Linked DNA regions of Rattus norvegicus. The protein of the gene in region 1 interacts with the protein of each later gene in a pairwise test. Links are inferred from orthologs where the notes say so. Each region holds a gene or a part of one and is shown on either strand. Other genes may lie near its edges.

What was found.
Region 2: the proteins of Cd63 (region 1) and Timp1 interact in binary tests that used the Homo sapiens proteins (3 or more experiments, as listed by UniProt). The link is inferred for Rattus norvegicus from reciprocal best matches to the Homo sapiens genes CD63 and TIMP1.

Annotation. Positions count from the first base shown.
Region 1 is NC_086025.1:1,918,449-1,926,257, forward strand, and holds Cd63 (CD63 antigen), read left to right. Parts: upstream 1-3,695; 5' UTR 3,696-3,744; exon of another isoform or gene 3,745-4,185; coding exon of another isoform or gene 4,186-4,196; coding exon 4,197-4,262; exon of another isoform or gene 4,263-5,080; coding exon 5,081-5,269; exon of another isoform or gene 5,270-5,406; coding exon 5,407-5,481; exon of another isoform or gene 5,482-5,572; coding exon 5,573-5,668; exon of another isoform or gene 5,669-5,779; coding exon 5,780-5,920; exon of another isoform or gene 5,921-6,096; coding exon 6,097-6,180; coding exon of another isoform or gene 6,181-6,338; coding exon 6,339-6,404; 3' UTR 6,405-6,487; downstream 6,488-7,809. Other genes in the region: Rdh5 (retinol dehydrogenase 5 precursor), read right to left, coding at 7,346-7,569, 7,755-7,809. UniProt on the Homo sapiens protein: Functions as a cell surface receptor for TIMP1 and plays a role in the activation of cellular signaling cascades. Plays a role in the activation of ITGB1 and integrin signaling, leading to the activation of AKT, FAK/PTK2 and MAP kinases.
Region 2 is NC_086039.1:3,766,220-3,774,096, reverse strand, and holds Timp1 (metalloproteinase inhibitor 1 precursor), read left to right. Parts: upstream 1-2,974; 5' UTR 2,975-2,998; intron 2,999-3,348; exon of another isoform or gene 3,349-3,390; intron 3,391-3,737; 5' UTR 3,738-3,748; coding exon 3,749-3,869; intron 3,870-5,658; coding exon 5,659-5,738; intron 5,739-5,926; coding exon 5,927-6,053; intron 6,054-6,252; coding exon 6,253-6,377; intron 6,378-7,321; coding exon 7,322-7,522; 3' UTR 7,523-7,573; downstream 7,574-7,877. UniProt on the Homo sapiens protein: Metalloproteinase inhibitor that functions by forming one to one complexes with target metalloproteinases, such as collagenases, and irreversibly inactivates them by binding to their catalytic zinc cofactor.

The DNA.
Region 1 (7,809 bases):
AGGGGCTGGGCTTCCTCTCACCTATCCCTGGTTCTTCCCTATATAATCCAAACACTCTCTCTCTCTCTCTCTCTCTCTCTCTCTCTCTCTCTCTCTCTCTCTCTCTCTCTCTCTCTCTCTTCCTCCCACCCTCCCTCCCTCTCCGTTTGCGTTTTGCGTTTTCTTCCCCTTCTCCTCCGTCTCTCCTTCCGGTGTGGTCAGTGAACTCACCCAAGAGCTGCCCCCATAAACCGGGCTTGAGCTGTCCCGTTTCCTTGGCAGAGGATATCACATGACGTTTCCATACGTGAATATTTACCCCGTTATTCCTTCTCTTATTCATCCCCTGCTCTCTCCCCTCCCACATCGCTAAAAATAATTCTCTGTTTACTTTCATGTCCTTCTAAAAGGCCGTTCCAGAGTCCCCATGTGAGAGAAAACATGTGATGTCTGTCTCTATGACCACAGCGACCTCGGGCTCCGTCCGTTTTCATGCACTTACCTCTCTCTGGGTGTGTGATGTTTGTCTATGTGTGTGAGGTTAGGGGAGGATGTTAGGTGGCCGGCTTTATCATTTTTTTACCTTGTTCCCTTGAGACTGAACTTGGAGCTAGACTGAGGCCAGCAAGTCCCCGTGGTTCTGTCTCTTAACGGTGCGGGACGCTTGTGGAGATATACCTGGTTTTTTAAAATTTAATTTAATTTAATTTATTTTTTTTTTGCTGTTTTGTATTTTGGAATATTTATTTGAATTACTTTTCTTTCTTTCTTTTTTTTTTACAATCCAGCCATTGCCCCCCTCCCTGTCCCCAGTCCCGCAGTTCCTCATCCCATTCCTCCCCCCCACCCCCCATCTCTGAGAGGATGTTCCCCACCACAATTTTATTTTTTTGCTTAATCACTTTACATCCTGCTCACTGGCCCCCTCCTGGTCACCCCTCCCACAATCCTTGCCCTATCCCCTCTCCCCTTCTCTGAGAGGGTGGGGACCCCCCTGGGTATCCTACCACCCACACACCTGATTTTTTTTGTGTGTGTGGGTGCTTGGATCAGAACTCAAGTCCTTATGTTTGTGCAAGTGCTTTTACCTACTGAATGATCTTTCCAGCCCCTAGGATACGTAATTTTAAGACTGTGTGTGTGTGTGTGTGTGTGTGTGTGTGTGTGTGTGTTTTGCCTGCATGTATATATGTGTACTATACGTCTGTCTAATGTCTGAGAAGGCAGAAAATGGCACCATATCCACTGGAACTGAGTTACAGAGGTTATAGGCCACATATGTATTCTGGGAATTGAAGTCAGGTCCTCTGTAAGAGCAAGTGTTCTAAACAACTGAGCCATCTATCTCTCCAGCCCTTTCTTCTCCTCCTCTCCCTCCTCCTCTTCCTTCTCCTCTCCCTCCTCTGCCTCCTCCTCTTCCTCTCCCTCTTCCTCTCCCTCCTCCTTTTGAGACAGGGTCCTAGTGTGTAGCCCAGACTGGCCTGTGAAGTCATGATCATTCTGCTTAGCCTGAGTACAGAAATAAACAGATGCCATCAGGCCAAGGTTCTTCATTCATTTGGTACTGATTTATTATTTGATTATTTACTCATATTTGGAGACAAGGACTCATTCCTTAGATTAGCCTCAAACTCCTTTGGTAGCCAAGGATGATCTTGAATCCTTAAGACGTATGCCTCTACATCATGAGTTCAGGAGTTGTAGTGCCTGGTTTACGAGGTGCTAAAAATACAAGTATGTCTGCATAGTAAGCAAACACTTTACCAACTGAGCTACATCCTCAGCTCGGATAGATAGATTGATTGATTGATTGATTTTGAGATAGGGTGTCACTTTGTAGCCCAGGCTGGCCTTGAACTTGAAATGACTAAGTGACCCCTCCTGCTTTAGTCTCCAAGTGCTAGAATTACAGGTGTTACCCACTGATTTTGTTGTTTTGTTTGGGTTGAGACAAGGTGTCGTTGTGTAGTCCAGGATGGCCTGTAACCTTGCCATCCTGCCTTCACATCCATAGTGCTGGGAACAACAGGCCTCACCACTGTGCCTAGACTTCTTTGTAGTCTGGGAACTGAGCTGGGTCCCTGTTCATGCTGGATGCTCTACCACAGAGCTGCATGCATTTCTAGTTGTCATTTTGAACTATAGTTTCACTAGCACAGGGTATACAGCTTGGTAGAGCGCTTGCCTAGTAGGCACGGAATCCTGGGTTTGATGCCAGAACTGCATGAACCAGATGTGCTTGTGCACACCGGTGATGCCAGCACTTGTGGAGGCAGGATGATCATCAGTTCAAGGTCAGCCTCCGATACACAGGGAGTTTCAGGCCAGCCTGGACTACATAAGACCCTGATTCCAAAGAGATAGGGAGATAGGTGTGTGTGTGTGTGTGTGTGTATGTGTGTGTGTGTGTGTGTGTGTGTGTGTGTGTTGTCTCACTAAACTGTCCAGAATGGCTTTGAATTTCTGATTCTCTTGTGTCGGGAGTGGTGTTAATGGCCGTTAGTCTCTGGAGGCTGAGGCAGGCAGATTTCTGAGTTTGAGGCCAGCCTGATCTACAGATAGAGTCCCAGGACAGCCGGGGCTACACATAAAGCCCTTTCTCAAAAAACAAACAAACAAACAAACAAACAAACAAACAACCAAAAAAGATACCAGCGTACTGGGATTACCTGCGCACCACCAGCTGGCTTTTGTTCCTATGGCTTCTTTGTGTACACTCCTTTCCTTTCAGTTCAGTAAGCAACTCGAGGCAGAAGGAGCTGCTGCGAAAAGGACAAAGTTCAGGCTAGGAGTGTTAACGCTAGTCTTATGAGAATTTTTTTTTTAACAACAGTTCCTTCTGCGAACCACCAGCGGCACAAGGGAGGGAGGTATTTCTAGCCACTGCCTTTACCTGGTTTTGCCATCTCTGATGAAAAGAGGAATAAGGCGAGGAAGTCCATGTTATTGCCTTGCCAGCATTAGCGTCTTTTCTCGCATCTCCACTAACCACTGGTTAATCCAGGAGCAAGGGAACTAAGGCTTTGTTAATCTTTCCCCAGAAGGAGGGCCCAGGCTCTGACGTGTTATAATTGACGCATGAAACGGTTCTAGACAAGGGCTTCCTCCCTCCGGTTTTCTCAGCTCAGGAGTTCTAGAAAATAGAGAAGCTGGGGTCATAAAACCCTAGTCCAGAACGTTGGGAGACTCCTAAGACGTGAAGCTAGGGGCTTTCTGAAAGTGTTTATTCTGACTTCACCCAATGCCACCCAACCCACACCTTCTGCGGGCTCGGGGATTGGGGGCAGGGGCTTGAACAAGGACGGAGAGGGAGGTGCGTGGTTGGTTCTCTGTGGGTTGAGGTCTGCAGAAGAGCATTTTGACACTTTGCCTCAGTTCTGTCTTTGGGCAACTCCCGGCCGCCCTGCGTCCTCTGGGCTCCGGACTCGCCTACTCCCGAACCAGAGAGAACCAGACGGTGCTGGGTTGGAGAGGGCTCCGGGAACCCTGAGGTCCGGCTCCTGGCTCGAGGCTTCCGGGCAGCGGCCACGTGGCCTGTCCAGGCGGGGGGCTCACCTCCCCTGCTAGCCCGGGTGACTCAGGCCGCAGCTGTTCCCGCGTCACATGAGAGAGGGAGGGAGGGAGGGAGGAAGGCGGCCACCCTGCGGGGGTGGGGGCGGCCGGAGCCGGGGCGGGGCCGTGCGGCAGGCGGGGCGCGGGCAGGGGGCACAGGAGACGGCTGCTGAGCCGCGGTAGGAGAGCATCAAGAAGCGTCGGGGAGCGCAGGTGAGGCCCGGGTTAACGCGGGCCCGGGGACTCCGGGGACGCCCGTGGGGACAACTTTGCCTCGAAGTTCGCGGGGCGCCACCCGTGCGGCCCTCGAAGGGAGGCTCGCGCCCGGGGGGCTGGCGAGTGTCCTGGATCGCGGCCTGTAGGGGTCGGGATTCCGCGCTGGGCGGCGACCGGCGGGGGTCCACCCGGAGTCCGGCTGCGCCCTCCGTGCGTCCCGGGATCCCGAGGCACCATTCCCTGGTGCGCGCCCCCACCCCAGTCCGGCCGCGGAGCGGGAGGGCAGGGAGGGCGCGGAGACGTGGATCTGACTGCGGGTTTCTGGGTGGGAGGGCCCCGATGGGGGCCGCGCAGGGAAGGCTGCGAAGGCCGGCGGGGAGCTGCGGATCCGGCGGCCCCTCGGCCTGCTCTAATCCTTGCGCTCTCTTGCGGCCCCAGGCCCAGCAGCCATGGCGGTGGAAGGAGGAATGAAGTGTGTCAAGTTTTTGCTCTACGTTCTCCTACTGGCCTTTTGCGTGAGTAGTGCGGGGAGGGCGACGGGGCGCGCGGGCGGGGTGCCGGTGAGTCTTGGAGCGGGAGCCGTGAGGAACGAGGGACCCAGAAATGAAGGCAGCTGGAGGCCAGATGTGGAAGCAAAGCTGGAGAAAAGGCCAAAGGCAGAATGTGTCCGTGTCCGTCACCCCTCCCCCGCCCCCCCCCCCCCCGCCGCTTTCCTCTGAGGAAAGTTTGGACCGAGAATTGCCACCCTAGATGCGGAGCACCCCTAACCAACCCCCTCCTGGCCCTTCCTGTCTGGTGACCCAACCATTTGTGATATGGGGTGGTGGGGCAACCTGCCAACGGTCTGATGGTATCGCCAAGGGGCTGCCTCCACTCCTCACCCTGTTGATTCATCTCCATTCTCTCAGCCCTCTCATTTACTTGGGAGAAGGAATGGCTCCAACCCTCCTTCATTTGCTCCTGCCTGGAGAAACTGTTGTTTGTTCAGAAAGGGGCCATCTTACCCCCTCTTCTTCCTCCCCGGCCTGGCTGGCCCTAGGACCTGAGTCACTGGAGTGAGGGAGTAGTTCTGGGAGAGACCCGAGCTAGGAGTCAATAGAACAAAACGCACGTCCTGGGCTGAAGAGCTGTTTAGAGGCAGGCATGACACCTCCTGATTCCCTTCTCCTTATGTGTCTCAAACAACTTCCCAGCCTTCCTTGTGGGGCAAGGACGGGCGAACCTTCTCTATAGCCAGTGTTTCCTGGAGGTGTAAGAATCCATTTTCTGGCTGGGGGTCGGGTGTGAGGGCTGAGGACTGAGGAGCTGACCCAACCCTCACCTTTTCCCTCAGGCCTGCGCAGTGGGATTGATTGCCATTGGCGTAGCAGTTCAGGTTGTCTTGAAGCAGGCCATTACCCACGAGACTACTGCTGGCTCGCTGTTGCCTGTGGTCATCATTGCAGTGGGTGCCTTCCTCTTCCTGGTGGCCTTTGTGGGCTGCTGTGGGGCCTGCAAAGAGAACTACTGTCTCATGATTACAGTGAGTGGGGTGTGGGAACTCCTGGGACTACCAGAAGGTATTCTGTGGTGAGGTGGGTGGATGAAGGAATTGACTGGGCCAGAGCAAGCCCTTTAAATCCAGACTTCAGACTCAACTCCTGTCCTGTCCTCCTGCAGTTTGCCATCTTCCTGTCTCTTATCATGCTCGTGGAGGTGGCGGTGGCCATTGCTGGCTATGTGTTTAGAGACCAGGTAAGCAGGGAACAAGAGGAACCTGTCTCAGGATGCTCTGGGAATCTGGGGCCTGAAGTCTGTTCTCAACAACACACTCCTCTACTCTTAGGTGAAGTCAGAGTTTAGTAAGAGCTTCCAGAAGCAGATGCAGAATTACCTTACAGACAACAAAACGGCCACCATTTTGGACAAATTGCAGAAGGAAGTGAGTGGGATGGCTGGGAAGAGGGTGAGGCGGGATGGAAGATTCTCATCTCTGAATTAGAATGGAGGTTCCACAGTTTAGCGACTTTCCCTCCCATCCCTCCTCCGTCAGAATAAATGCTGTGGAGCCTCTAACTACACAGACTGGGAGCGCATCCCCGGTATGGCCAAGGACAGGGTCCCCGATTCTTGCTGCATCAACATCACTGTGGGCTGTGGAAACGATTTCAAGGAATCCACCATCCATACCCAGGTAGGGAGAAGACATCACACGAGGGAAACTTGGGGAATGTTTCAGGAGGCAGGAGATGCTATCAGGATCAGAGTTGGGGATAGGGGTTGGGAGGATAGGAGAAAGGGGCCGAGGGAGGGAAGGAAGGAGGTAGGTAGACGCTTCTGTTAGTAGTCATGCCCGCCTTTTCTCTTCAGGGCTGCGTGGAAACTATAGCGGCATGGCTGAGGAAGAACGTACTGCTGGTGGCTGGAGCAGCCCTGGGCATTGCTTTTGTGGAGGTGAGGAATGCTGTGGGTTGTGGGAGGGCGGGCCTGGATCAGCTCAGGGCATCTGGGGAACAGGAGGCACTCACTGGCCTGGGAACAGTGGCTGTTGAGTGGGTTTGGGGAAACTTGCCCTGTCTTCTTCCCACCCTCATTTCTATCCTTCCTTTCAGGTCCTGGGCATTATCTTCTCCTGCTGTCTGGTGAAGAGTATCCGGAGTGGCTACGAAGTAATGTAGGGTGGGGGCGTGTCTGAGCTCGTCTGTCTTTTCATGGAGTGGACTCTCCAGGTTTTCAATTAAACGGATTATTTTTTCAGACCTAGAGAAGGAGATGGTCTCAGTTTGTCTTAGAGTGATGGATGGCCCCTTCCTTTTCCTTCTCCCTGCCTCTGCCTGAGAATAGGCAGGCATATTTGGGGGGTGGGGTGGGAAAAGGATTATTTATTTGAGGGTGGAAGAGGTGGGGAGTCCGGAGGAGGTTGTGACTGAGTGTCCCTGTGCCCCTCGGTTTGTGTTGCCTTCAAACTGTTTCCGCAGCACCCATGAGGACAGCTCCTGCATGAGTCGCAGGGGAGCTCCACAAAGGTCCTCCTGGGTAGAGCCTGGACAACTCTCTGCTTTGAGGCCCAGTGAAGTCCTCCCTGAGCCCTCAAGGAGAGTGTTTAAGTTGCTTGAGGCCTGTGTGGCAGTGTCCCCGATTTTTGCCTTAGATAACAGGGGAGTTTAGGTATTTCTGTCATGGAAGCCACCCAATACGGCAATTTCCGCCACTTTCCCTTCTATCCCCAAGAAAATTAGACAATGGTGTTCCTGGTGCAAACACAATTCTTACTACTCTGCCGAGAAAGTGCCCTCTGGTGGCCATCTCTCCAAGTGCAGCTCCAAAAAGCATGTGTAGTTGCAAGGTAGCTCCTCACAGCACCCAGTGTACAGTAGAAGCTTTGCAGGCATTAAAGAGGCCGGTGGGTTTGCTTCCTCCGCTGCTTAGGGATCTCAGGTACTCAAGTCTTGTCAGGCCCCACGGGCACCTTCATTTCTGTACGCCTGCTTTTCGATTTAAAGCGATATACGTATTTATTTACTGAGAGCCTAGTTTGTGTCAGAAGCCAGCCAGCGCGGATAGAGACAGAAGGAGATGCCTTGTCCTCCGAAACCAGCCTCTTGCTGTAAAGCTGGAGTCAGTAGATTGACTGGGCAGGCCGGGGAAGGACCCAGGCGAGCACAGCATCCACCACCCTGGCTGGAAGGTAGGAGGCAGGCAGCCAGAGAAGCTTGGCATCCCAGCCTGGGCTGTACCGTGTTCGGGGATGGCGGGCAGTCAGGGCATGCTCCAGGCAGCTTGTCACCTTCGTTAGGTCTGGGTCACAGATTAGGTTCATGATGCGGCGCTGCACTTGAAGATCTGTAGCTTGGAAGATGCCGTAGTCAGCGTTCATGCTCACACTGCCTCTCCTCCATCCCATGCTAGATCCTTGGGCTGGTTGCCAGGATCAGGAAGTGACTGCCTGCCCTTTTCCTCCCTTCCAGGTCTGACCTTTCTGACCCTCTTTTTCCCATCACGCACCCAATATGGGTCCAGCTACTCACAAGTAGTGAGGAAGGCTTCTCCGTAGTGGGCCTGTGTAGCTGGAGGTAGCCGGGC
Region 2 (7,877 bases), on another chromosome or scaffold:
TCTCCTACTTTCTCATTTCCCAAATGAGTGGTGTCGTAGGGAGGCAGAGGACTGAGTTGCATCATTTTAGTAAGAGGGATGGTTGTAAAGGTGTCATCCAGGTAGTAGGTCAAGGAAACAATGCCCATATATGTGTGTGTGTGTGTGTGTGTGTGTGTGTGTGTGTGTGTGTGTGTGTGTGTGTGTGTAGGGAGAAACTTCCACTCAGGCATCTACTTATCACACAGAGAAGCTTGAGACAGGCATAGTTACACTTACAACAACCTTCCACTTTCAGAAGCAGCATACTCAGGCACACACCTGGCTTTCAGGAAGGAACATGGAGCACACCAAGGGACATATGCCACCCCCAGAAGCACAGATACACTACACACAGCTGTGCATACACAAGAATACAAGAATACCTTTTCCTATCTGCTGAGCTTTGTGGATCCTTTTCACAAACCTGCTTTGCTTCCTCTGTTCATGAACTTGAACACTGTGGGTGCATGTAAGTGTGTGCCTGTCACATGTGCATAAAGGTAGTTACATGGGATTTCTTGGGGAGCTGTAGCCTACTATCTTGGCCTTTCTTCTTCCTAAGGCCATACAAAATCCCAGGTAGTTACTGTCTTTCTGGGTCTCAGTTTCCTGATCTGTACAAAGGGAATAATTAAGATCAAACATGTAATACTCTGTGGATATCATCAGGTATTTGCACATGACAGCAGATCACTCTGGGAAACTTACACCTATCCAGTTTGGTAGATAGTCACAGGCCCAACACTCCTCTGTGATGTTCACCCCACTCCATTTCAAACCTGTATAGTAATCTGAATCCTCAATATAAACAGTTGGCAAAACTGTGCTGACTCAGGTTTCATAGTTACAGAGCTGTCGTCATAAGCAGAGTCATAGAAGAGGCGAGGCAGGACTTTCCCTGTCCTTACGTCTCCTCATTCCCGCCGCTTATTTACTCAGCCCCCTGTCTCATCCACATTCTCACTCCTCACTTTCACAATCAGATGGTTGAAAATTTTGGTTTCCTTCCCTTTCTCCTTTTCTTTGTACCTTCTCCCACCACTACAGTAATTTCTTCACTATCCTTCCTGGACAGGCCATTTGACTCCTTTCTGTCTCTGTTTACTCACTAAATAGTGAAAGTATGAATCATACCTCACGGATACATTGGGAAGAATAAGTCAATTACTTCAGAGAAAAGAAAATCTTAGTATACACATATAGTAAACCTGAATCTTCAAAGTATTGGTTACTATTATTGTTGTTATTAACACCTCTTCATTAAGTAACATTAAGGAACAAGGAGGACAATAGCAAACAAACAAACAAACAAAATTCCTGGGCTGGCAATTTGGCCCAGCAGATAAAGGTGCTTGCTGCCACCATGCCTGGTGGCATGGTAAGTTTGAGCCTCAGAACCCATAGGGAAGGAGGACTGTCCCCTGAAAGTTGTCCTCTAAACAATACAGGCATGCCATGGCATAAGTACAGGTACACACACACACACACACACACACACACACACACACACACACACACACAATGTAAAATACAAACCCTTTAAAAGAGTGTATTGTACACAGTGAATACTCTGTTGAGTGCTGGCAGGAGGTTTTTGTGTCCTGTGGTTATTGGACTAAGCTACCTAAGTTAATAAAATGTAATTAGCTAAAGTAAATTGTACATAAAGACCTTGGCAATGATATACAGTAAGTACTCAATAAGTAGCTGTGATCATCACTACCACATTCTCTCTGTCTCTGTCTCTCTCTGTCACAGGTTCTTCCTATGTATCTCTGGCTGTCCTGGAACTCACTGTATAGACTAGATACCCTCTAATTTTCTGGATCAGCTTGCCCCCTGGGATTAAAACCATTGTCATTACTATTGGTCTGTCCTCCCTATCTTAATTGAGGGTGGTAATCAGCCCATAGAATCCTTCTACAGGACCCCAGGGAATATTCCTGCATCATCAGAAAGCTGGTGGGCAGCAGTTGCCTCATTCCCACTCCCACCAGGGGTGTGGACTGGTTGGTGGGGGAAGGGGAAGACTGGATGGAGTAGGGATGGTGGTTTTTCTACTGACTCACTAGCTTTTACCATCATTCACCCCCTCCCTCCCCCCATCCCCTTGCAACGCTCACCACACCATTCCCTGCTTGTCAAAGATTGTACCCTGCTTGAGTTAGTATTCCAGGTCAGGAAGCCTAGGTTTAAATCTTTATTGTCCTGTGACCCTAACAAAGTTCTTCACTTCAGCTATTTGCCTGTTTGGTCTTGTTTCTGTTTAAGACCTTAAGGGTCTCTTGTAGCCAAGGATATCTTCAAACATCTTCACTGGTATGTGCAGCCACTGCAAAGTTTGGGGAAGAAGTCACTACCTGGGCTCTGTCTGTATGCAGCCTCAGTTCCCTCCCAGTTCTGCCACACTCAACTGCCATCCTGGATAAGTCATAGACACTCTCAGTGTTATCAATTTCCCCACTATGTATTTGTGCCCCTTCTCCCATGTCATGTCCCTCAACTGTTTTTCTAGTTTGTCTCTCCTCTGCCACCCCTCACCAGAATTTCAGATCCACAGGAAAGGCCTTCTTGTGAGATTGTTACATAGTAGATGAAAGGCGTGGGAAAGAAATTATTGGCTTCAGCCATAGGAAGTTTGGGGAATGTGGGAAACCGGAGAGGCACAAGGCTTCAGGGGCTTAAGCGGTCTTTATTCTTCCCTTCTTCCCTTCAAGGCCGCCAGGAAGGAATGTGCATGACGGAGCTGGGGGAAGGGGGCGCAGTGGGCTGGCTGGCAGAAGAGGGAGTACTTTGGGCTCAGCCTGGGGCCCGCCCCTAGGCTTTGACTTCAGCAGTGGGTGGATGAGTAATGCGTCCAGGAAGCCTGGAGGCAGTGATTTCCGCGCCAACCCCACCCCTCGCATGGACATTTATTCTCCACCGCCAGTCCCTGCCTCCATCACTGCTGATCCGGACTCCTAGAGACACGCTAGAGGTAAGTGGGAGCCGGGTGTCCTGGCAGAACTGGGGTTTGCTTGGAGCCTGTGTTGGTGCGGCCACGAGGCCCATCCAGTCCCTTGCCAGACTAACCATTCAACTTGGCTTGCAGGTATCAGGATCTCTAGTTAGCCAAGGGGGAATATAAAGGGAGAGCGTCCTGAATGATTGTCCCCAGCGGGACTCTCCAGACTCTTTCATGCTCTTAGCATTCATCTCAAAGTGCCCCAAACCCACAAGCCTTTAATGCCTTTAAAACTTCCTAACTTGCTAATTCCCCCAAATTTCTTCATTGTCCCTCAATCTTTACGGCTCCTGTAACACCCCTGTTCTCTTTGCCATGTCTAGCTCCTGGAACTTCAAAAATTCCTCTGCCTTCAAATTCCTGAGGTATTCCTATTACTGTAAACCTCCAAATTCCCCAAGACCCTTAACCCCCCATTTTCCCCAGCTCCCTAAAACCACAAACCTATTCTAAATCCCCCAATATCTCTGAACTTCCCAGCCCATTATATTTTAATAGCCCTAACTCCCCATTATACTTCTCCAGTTTCCCAAACTCCAAATTCATCACTACACAAATGTCAGATTTCCCCAATTCTGTTAAATTCTCAAAGTTCTCAGCTCCCTTATTCACCAACTGTGTTCTCTAACCTAAAGAGTTCCTGAGTCTCCCTAGAGCCAACGGCCATGTAAGCCATTGGTTTGGGAACCTACTAACACCTAGTCTTTACCAGCAGATACCACGATGGCGCCCTTTGCATCTCTGGCCTCTGGCATCCTCTTGTTGCTATCATTGATAGCTTCCAGTAAAGCCTGTAGCTGTGCCCCAACCCACCCACAGACAGCTTTCTGCAACTCGGACCTGGGTGAGTCTGTCCCTCTTTCTGTCTGTCTTAGTCTAGTAGGGATCATTACAGTAGTTGTCCCTAGGACAGTTCTACTTACCCTTCCGTACATCTGCTTTTGCCACACTGACATCCTTGGGCTTAAGCCCACCTTTGTGCTGGCTGCTCCCAGTACCATGTACATGCTTTTCTGTAGTTATCCACATGCATGGCTTTCTCAAAAGTCACCTTACTGAGGTGCCTGCCAACTTTCTTTAATTTTAATACCAGCCACATAGTACTTCTGATCCCTTGTTAGGACACAGAAAGGCAGACTTCATTTAGAACTATGATAATCAGAATTTACAGAGAGAGAGAGAGAGAAAGAGAGAGATTGATTTTAGATAGATATTGATATTGGGCTTAACTTTCAACATTGCATAGGCAAATGGAACTCTATGGCCAAAGAACAATTTAATGTTGATGAATGGGAAATCACTGAAAAGAAATATCAAAGGTGGGCTGGAGAGATGGCTCAGTGGTTAAGAGCACCAACTACTCTTCCAGAGGTCCTGAGTTCAAATCCTACCAACCATCTATAATGGGATCTGATGCCCTCTTCTGGTATGTCTGAAGACAGCACAGTGTACTCATATACATAAAATAAATCTTAAACAAAAAGAAATATCAAAGGCAAGAGGATTCAGGCTAAGTCCATTAAAAAGATTTATTTTATTTATGTGTATGTTTGTGTGTGTTCCATGTGTGGTGTATGGGTGCCTGTGGAGTTCCCAAGGCATCAGATCTCTTGGAGCTGGAGTTATGGATGGTTGTTAGCTACCCTATGTAGATTCTAGGAACCAAACTTGGGAACTCAAAGAGCAGCAAGTACTCTTAACCATTAAGCCATCTCTATAGACTTTAAGCTCACTCTGTTTTTGAGACTAGGTCTCACTATATAACTCAGGCTGGTCTTGAAGCCCTGATTCTTCTCACTCAGCCTTCCAAGTGCTGAGATTGTTAGGTCTGTGCCACCACACCTAGTTTAGGACTCTTGAGGAAAACTTGTCTGGTGGTCCCATCACATACTGTGGAGAATAAGATGAGGGTTGGTGTTTTCACTAAGCTAATTTAAGGTACTTCCCTACAACTGTATTTGAAAGAGAAACTTCACTAATGAGCTTGGAAGAAGGTTAATGAGCCTGAATAAATTGTGGTCAAGCAAAGAATATCTGTCAACTTCCTCTCTAATTTCCCAACACACTTAATAGCTTCTAACAATCCACATACCTTTTCTCCCTCCTCCATACTGGGGATTGAACCTAGGACCTAGGCAAACACCGCACAATTGAGCTACAAACCCAACCCTTTTCTTGTGAATTTTTATTTTTAAACAAGTTCTCGCTAAATTGTCTAGACTGGTCTTGAACTCATACTAAAGCGATCCTCCATCAAGCTCTGACAGAACTGGGGTTACAGGCCTGTGCCACCATTTCTGGCTACATAATGTTAGTCTGTTTCCTCCTGACTTGAATGTGAGCTTCATAAGGAAATAGATTCCTGTGTTTGGGTCATTGTCCTTTCCCTAAGACCCTGAACAGTGGTTGGCATACATCAGGCACTCCAAAACATTTGTTGAGTAAGCCAACAAATGGATATATGAAAAGGGCTTAAAACAGTGCTTAAAAGAATAGACAATATTTAGATGAATCAACTGATGTGGAAGCCATCAAGTGTGCTGTCTATTTGAACTATGTTGTATATGTTTTGCTGCTATGGGTTCATGCTGCCTGCCCATTTGAATCCTTATTTTCCCCTTCTTTTCCTCTAGTTATAAGGGCTAAATTCATGGGTTCCCCAGAAATCATCGAGACCACCTTATACCAGCGTTATGAGATCAAGATGACTAAGGTATTTCTACTCCCTCCCCTCATAGCAGTTACCTAACCTCTTCCTCCCACTCAAAATAGAAGCAACTAGCCTTTCGTTGGTGTGGATGTTTTCTGTAAACTTGTGTTTAGACATATTGCCATCAGGAAAGAGAGTGGAGTGGGAGGATTATGTCAGTAAATGATACAGTTTTTGTCACTCATGGGCAGATGCTCAAAGGATTCGACGCTGTGGGAAATGCCACAGGTTTCCGGTTCGCCTACACCCCAGCCATGGAGAGCCTCTGTGGATATGTCCACAAGTCCCAGAACCGCAGCGAGGAGTTTCTCATCGCGGGTGAGGCTCCGCCCCTTCGCCTTGGGCCACATTCCTTCATCCTTAGATGTTTTCTGGCAACTGGGAGGAGCTAGGCTCTAATGAGAAAGGGCCTGGTTGAAATGGGAGTGGGAGGGTCTGTAACTTAATGCTAATTAGGTGACCACTCTGATACCACCCAGCCAATCAAAAGCCTGTTGGTTTCTTGCCTCTCTTACAGGCCGTTTAAGGAACGGAAATTTGCACATCACTGCCTGCAGCTTCCTGGTTCCCTGGCATAATCTGAGCCCTGCTCAGCAAAAGGCCTTCGTAAAGACCTATAGTGCTGGCTGTGGGGTGTGCACAGTAAGTGCCTGGATCCAGTTTTCCTCCTGGAGATAAGTCTTGGAATGGTTTCTTTTTCCCTCTGACTATTATATGCCATTGAAGCTGCTTCCCAAACCCACTCACTATCTTTGATTTCTCTTGCCATTGTTCCAGCCTGGGACTGCTCTTTTGGAAATTCTGGTTGTTCTGTTATCTTGGGACTGCCTGTTCCCTGAACCTTCACTGTCTAACTTTCCTTTGTGACTATTCCGGGACACCACTGTCTGTTTCTGACCTCCCTAGATTGGATTTTGCTTCCCAGGCATAATCTGCAAAGATTCAAAGTACTATTCTCCAAATCCACCTGGACATGTCAGCCATCTGACTGTTTCAAAACTGTTCCCTGGTGGCACCAAATATCCTCTGACTAACTCCCCACACCCCTCATTGTCTGAGAGCTCTGTTGCCTTTTCTTTTTTTTTTCTTTTTTAAAATATTATTCATTTAATGTCTATGAGTCCATTGTAGCTGTCTTCTGATGCTTGAAATAGGGCATCAGATCCCATTCCAGATGGTTGTGAGCCACCATGTGGTTCCTGGGAATTGAACTCAGGACCTATTGAAGAGCACAGTCACAGCTCTTAACCACTGAGCCATCTCTCCAGCACCCTGCTGCCTTTTCTTATGCTTGCTCTCCCTGCATGCCAACTGTTCCCATACTATTACTTCTCTGCCCTGTGGGACAGTTCCTCAGGAGGTCTGCCTGAGTGACTTCAAGTGACAGTTCCATAACTACCATTGCAGAACATTGGCTTTCTGTTCCCCACATGGGAGAACATCTTGGGTCTAAGCACAAGTGGGGCAACATCAACCCTTCCCAGCAGCTCCCTGTTGCCAGAGAGAGTGTGTGAAAGACTCTATGCAGGGAAGAGAACAAAGGGAAAGAGAAGTCCTCAGAGATGGGCCTTTCTCCTCTCTTGTAGGTGTTTCCCTGTTCAGCCATCCCTTGCAAACTGGAGAGTGACAGTCATTGCTTGTGGACAGATCAGATCCTCATGGGCTCTGAGAAGGGCTACCAGAGCGATCACTTTGCCTGCCTGCCACGGAATCCAGATTTGTGCACCTGGCAATACCTTGGGGTCTCGATGACCCGAAGCCTTCCCCTGGCAAAAGCTGAAGCCTGAACACTGTTTACCTTTCCTCCATCTTTCTTTCTCTTAAATGGTGAAATAAAGAACTATCACACAGCAGCAGTGTTTCTGTATAATGTCTGGGAACAAACTCAAGATACTGATAACCTGCTCGGAGCTTCCAGGGACCAATGAAGGAGGAAAAGATACTAAATGTTCAGTTTGGAGGCTAGAAATGTAGCTTAGTGGTAGAGCACAAGCCTAGCATGTAGAAAACCCTAGGTTCAATCTCTAGTGAAAAAAAATGGGGGAAGGGAGGCCAGACTAGTCTACAGAGTGAGTTTGTGAAGTTCAGGACAGCCAGGACTACACAGAGAACCCCTGTCTTGAAGAACAAAGTAACAAAAAA